Linked DNA regions of Mus musculus: region 2 is reported to be linked to region 1. Evidence: microRNA targets listed by miRTarBase, many of them from high-throughput screens and not tested one by one. Region 1 holds a microRNA gene; the other region holds the end of a gene's coding sequence.
Evidence for each region. The annotated mature microRNA mmu-miR-669a-3p reads ACAUAACAUACACACACACGUAU and lies in region 1 at 2,168-2,190, shown strand. An mRNA with a match to its seed (bases 2 to 7 or 8) in the 3' UTR can be bound and repressed. Matches are read on the target gene's strand: a 7mer-m8 pairs with bases 2 to 8, a 7mer-A1 pairs with bases 2 to 7 and ends in A, and an 8mer does both.

Region 2: the mRNA of Rnf11 is a reported target of mmu-miR-669a-3p. Seed matches in the 3' UTR shown: 7mer-m8 at 1,678-1,684.

What each region holds. Positions count from the first base shown.
Region 1 is chr2:10,499,223-10,502,330 of GRCm38, forward strand. It overlaps Mir669a-11 (microRNA 669a-11), which reads left to right and starts at 2,117; the gene lies at 2,117-2,203. The region is part of intron 10 of Sfmbt2 (Scm-like with four mbt domains 2); the gene reads left to right.
Region 2 is chr4:109,451,460-109,454,567 of GRCm38, forward strand. Rnf11 (ring finger protein 11) reads right to left here. Exons shown (of 3, transcript NM_013876.3): 3 at 1,398-2,963. The coding sequence ends at 2,792. Among named protein-coding and RNA genes, the nearest start is that of Rnf11, 23 kb to the right of the region's middle.

The DNA.
Region 1 (3,108 bases):
GTGCATTGCATGTGTTGACATGATATACATAACATAAACACACGTGTATATGCAAGCACACACACACAGGAAAAAATTGCATTCATTTATACGTTGAATGATATGTGACTTAAAGTTTTAAATATTATGCAGTAGTGGGTCAGTGAATGGTTTTACTCACCTGGTATGAAAGATTGTGGATCAGGAGTTCTAATTCATGCTTTACTTCATGATGACTTAGAGATATGCCTGGGATTCATGTGATGCCCCCTATGTATATCTATCTGTATCTGTTTCTATTGTGTGTGGATTTGAGTATATGGATGTACCTATCTACACAAATATATACATGTACACAGACACAAACAAAACACACACACAAACATCAGTGCAACTCATCGATCCATTTGAATGACGTGTGACTTAGAGTTTTAACATTCCTCAGTACTGAATGGGGACAGGTCTCACTCAGCAGGTGAAGTCCCTTCACAGAGTCAGGTGGATCAGGAGTTCAAATTTGTGCTGAATTTCATGATGAGTTCATGACCAGCATGGGATTCATCTTATGCCCACCAAAAATGTACATGTGTGTATAGTTGTGTGCATATTCACTTCTCTATATGAATATGCATATACACGCATGCACACACATTCATAGGAATGGCCAGAGCTATGTCTCAGTTAGGAGGTGAGTACTCTTGCCAGAGTCAGGAGGATGAGTAGTTCAAATTCATGATTAACTTCATGATGAGTTAGAGTTCAATATGCCATTCATGTGATGCCCACCAAGAATGTGCATGTGTTTATTCTTGTGTACATATTCACTTTTGTATATGAATATGCATATACTCACATGCAAACATACTCTCACTAACGGCCAGATCTTTGTCTCAGTTAGGAGGTGAATACTCTTGCCAGCATCATGAGGATGAGCAGTTCAAATTCATTTAAACTTTATGATGAGTTAGAGATCAGTCCAGAATTCATGTGATTTTCCCTGTGTATGTGTGTATGTGTATAGGGAAGTGTGCCTGTACATGTGTGTATATGAACATGCATACACACACACACACACACACACACACACACCGAGGGACACATACATGTGCACACAAACACACATGTCAGTCAGCCATTTGATTTATACGTGCTTAGAGTTTCATTGAGTGTATATTCATGGTATATGGAAACATCCAACTTATCACATGAAAACCGCTTACCAGAGTTAGGAGTCTTCTCGTGTCAAATTCATGCTTAACTTCATGTAGAGTTAGAGATCACCCTGGATTTGCGTCATGGACCCTAGGTGTGTACATGTGCATATAATTGTGTGTGCACGTACATGTGTGTATATGATCATCCCTATAAATACACACACATACAAATGTATTCACACACACACAGGCATGCACACTCACACACATAAGAATGACACTCATTGATCCATTTGAATGATATATGTCTTAGAATTTTGCTGATTATAAAGTAGAGGGACAGTGAATATTCTCTCTCACCAGGTGTAAACAATTGGCAGTGTCAGGAAGATCAGGAGTTCAATTTCATGCTTAACTTCATGAGCAGTTAGAGATCATCCTGGACTAATGTGATGGCCCCTATGTATGTGCCTGTGTGCGTAAGTGCCTGCATGTATATGCGTGTATATTTTATGCATATACATACACACACCTACACACACATGCACACAGACATGCGGGAATGGCCCTCACGGATCCATTTGAATGAAATGTGACCTACTGCTTTGGAGGTTATGTATGACTGGGCCAGGGTGAGGTCTCACAAACCACGGGAAAACCCTTGGTAGAGTCGGGAAGATCAGGAGTGCAAGTTCATGGTAAAGGCATGATGAGTTAGAGTCATCCTGGCATTCATGTGATTGCCCCTATGTATGTGTGTATGTGTTGATGTGTGTGTACATGTACATGTGTGAATATGATATACATATACATACACGCACACATAAGACACATATGAGCACACAGACACATGGGAATGGCACTCATCAATCCATTTGAGTGATAAGTGACTTAGAGTGAAAATGCTTGCTAGAGTTAAGAGTATCAGGAGTTCAAATTCATACTTATCCTCATGAGAGATCAGCCTGTGATTCCACCATGTATGTGCATGTGTGTATAGTTGTGTGTGCATGTTCATGTCTATATTTGAATATACATAACATACACACACACGTATAAACGCAAGCACACATACACAGACACAGGAATGGCATTCGCCAATCCCTTTGAATGATAAGTGATGTAGAGTTTTAGCGATTATGCCATAGGGGACATTGAATGTCCTCACTCACCAGGTGTAAAAGATTGACAAAGTCAGGAGGATAAAGATTGCAAATTCATGCTTAACTTCATTTGGAGACATCTTGGTATTAATGTTATGCAACCCATGTATATGTATGTGTGCTTACTTGTATGTTCATTGTATGTGTTGACATGATATACATAACATAAACACACATGTATATGCAAGCACACACACAGGAAAAAAATTGCATTCATTTATACATTTGAATGATATGTGACTTAAAGTTTTAAATATTATGCAGTAGTGGGACAGTGAATGGTTTTACTCACCAGGTGTGAAAGATTGTGGATCAGGAGTTCTAATTCATGCTTTACTTCATGATGACTTAGAGATATGCCTGGGATTCATGTGATGTCCCCTATGTATCTCTATTCTATCTGTTTTTATTGTGTGTGGATTTGAGTATATGGATGTACCTATCTACACAAATAAGTACATGTACAGAGACACAAACAGAAACACACACACAAACATCAGTGCAACTCATCGATCCATTTGAATGACGTGTGACTTAGAGTTTTAAGATTCCTCAGTACTGAATGGGGAGAGGTCTCACTCAGCAGGTGAAGTCCCTTGACAGAGTCAGGTGGATAAGGAGTTCAAATTCGTGCTGAATTTCATGATGAGTTCATGATCAGCATGGGATTCATCTTATGCCCACCAAAAATGTGCATGTGTGTATAGTTGTGTGCATATTCACTTCTCTATATGAATATGCATATACACGCATGCAAACACATTCATAGGAATGGCCAGAGCTATGTCTCAGTTAGGCGGTGAGTATGCTTG
Region 2 (3,108 bases), not on the chromosome of region 1:
GTTGTCTTAGGGTTTCCATTGCTGTGAAGGGACACCATGACCAAGGCTTCTCTTATAAACTCTTATAAAGGACACCATTCAATTGGGACTGGCTTACAAGTTCTGAGGTTTAGTCCATTATCATCATGGTGGCAAGCATGGCAGTGTTCAGGCAGGCATGGCTCTGGAGGAGCTGAGAGCTCTATAGCATATTCCAAAGGCAAACAGAAGACTGGCTCTAACATGGCTAAGAGGAAGGGCTCAAAGCCCACCCACACAGTGACACACTTCCTCCAAGTAGGCCATACCTACCCCAACAAGGCCACACCTCCTAATAGTGCCATTCCCTGGACCAAGCATATTCAAACCATCACAAATGTAAACATAATTTAAAGTATATCCAAGCAGTTCAATTTGTATAAACCTCCCTTTTCCTTGGTTAGGCTTTCTAGACATTTCAAATCCCATAGCCACGCTGGAACAAGTCTTGTCCATTTCTAAACCCTCTACACCTGCTTTAGGAAACTTTAAAGCTATCTAGTTTCTAAGTGTGTGCTTAAACCATAGTAACTACAAAGCAATGAAAAATAGTTCCCTAAGCTTTAAACTGATGTGTAAAGAAAATGATTTGGGATAAAGTCTAAGTCCTTACTATTATGTAAAGGCTGCCCCTAAGGTGATTTTTCCTGACATACACACAGAAAAACAGAACATTAAGCACTGTGTGTGTATGTGTATGTATAAAAAGATCAGATATTCTGGAGAACATGTAACCAACTCTTAACATTAAACCCTTCACGGCTATATTATAACTTTTAACAATTTAGTAGATGCCAAAAATTGATGGTTCTTAACATAGTTGTATGCAGAATAAAGTTAAAAAGAATAAGAATCACCCAAGAGCACTCAGTTCAGTACTATCTGAGACAGAAGGGGGTTTTGTTATTGTTGTTATTCTTAGACTGCACCATGAAAGACTGGGAAAAGTACATTTACAAATTTTGAGAACCTGGGAAAAAAGTCTGACTATAATACTTGATGACACACAAGTGTATAATTAGAAAACATAAGAATTTAAAAAGAGTTATCACTAAAAATATGGCACAACTTCAGCTGTTTCCTCCAAATTTACTTTATAATTGGATGGATATAAATTAATGAACAGAAATTAAGCAAGATATACGAGACAATTTAACAGAACCTGATAGTCTAATTTCAGTATTTCCAAGTTCATCTTTAAATATTTCCATCATGGGATCTACTGGGAATCTAAGCAATGTATGACTGCTTCAACTCAATGTCAATTAACTATTTATGACATAATTTCTTCTACACCGCAATTATGAAGAACCTTCAAGAAACTTTTGTATGTAAAAAAGTGTTAGTCAAGTACTCAACACAATATAAAAGAACATTTCTCATTTGTAAGGTGGAGAGCGCTTCTGCTCATCATTTTTTAACCACAATATCACTGAGTGGAAGGAACGAATCACCTGGAGAACATAAGGAAAATAAACACATGCTAAATGAATAAAACATTACACTTTACTAGACCATTTCTACCTCTAATCCTTCAGAAGTGCAGAGATTTAGAGTATTCTTACATTAATTGCAAGAAAAAATAAAGGAGAAGTTCCTTTGAGATCACAACTATGAAGTCATGTGGTTATACAAACCCTGCTGCATTGGTGTGCAAAACATAACACATTTGCCTCTCCTGTCAGTCACCTAGCAAGACTGAACAGGTACTTTTCTAGGAAACACACCAGATGTGTTTCTGTAACTTCAATAACCTCAGCACTACAGTAACAAGAGATGCAGTATCCTTTTGCTATGGTTCCAGACAGTGGGGAAAGAGGTCACAGGAAAGAGAATCAAAACTGTTACAGATGAGAAACTGTTTCTTTAAGTTTCATCATGGTGCCACCTTCGTTTTTATATAAGCATGGTGGCATAATTCAAAGCTCAACAAATCAGAAATATTAATATTTGAATTTCAACTTGACTTTCAATTATCACCATATTAACCACCAAAACAATAAGATAAGACACACAAGGAAAGGGATATCAAATCCACTTTGCTAGCCTTGTTTCCTGACACATCAACTCATTCTTAATAGAAAAGGGATAGTGCATCTCAGTTTGCTTACAAGCTAGGAGATCACTGTGAATTCTGCATTTCCTAACTGCAAACAGAATATAGCACTTACAACAGGTTATAAATAAACTGGTTTTCAAGCATAGAGCCAGCCCCAACGATAATAATACACTATTTAAAAAGACCTAAGGCAATGAATTCCATTTCCAATGGAAAAAAAGAACTGTGCAAACAAGCTTAAAACTACTATTTTTTTTTTTTTGTGCCAGTGTTATAAAATGTAGCTTTTAATAAAACCTTGACCCAAATGTCAGTAACTTTTCAGAAAAGAATTTGGGTGGGAGAAGAAACTTATTTCATTTAGGAAAAATAACAACTATCTTTTTCCTAAGCTTCAACACACACAATTTAAACATGTACAGTTGCTGTAACACTTTACACAATTCCTATGTACTGGAGCAAGAACAAGGTCTAATAACAATTATATTTTAAACACTGGGTCAAGGCTTTACATAAAAATACCATCCATCCTACTTTCCCCCTAAATTTCTAAAATATCACATACTTCCCTCAACATCTGCAGCCATCCAGGAATTTTTAGGAAACTTTTGTGCATGATCTTAATTCCTAATCCCTGGCTCTTTGGGCTCAGTGACAAAAGATCAAAACCACCAAAACTGATGGTTCACTTGAAGTCAGACGAGAGACCCTGGCTCAATTAGTCTCATAGGATGAAAGCAGTGCTGCATCCACTGGCTCCATGCAGGAGGGGCACGTGAAGGATCTCATCAACCAGTCATCTATACAGTCCAGGTGATAGATGTGCATGCACGGCAGAAATCGAATTGGGTCCCCATAAACAAAGTCCATCATACAGATCACACACCTGAGGGAGCAAAGAAGAAATCAGAAAATTTCACATAAGTGAAACAGTGTTAATGTTAATCTAAATACACACAAGCAAAATATTCATATACCTAAAACTTTTTTTTAAAGTTTCCCTGTTATCTCATTACCAAAGCATGAAAACT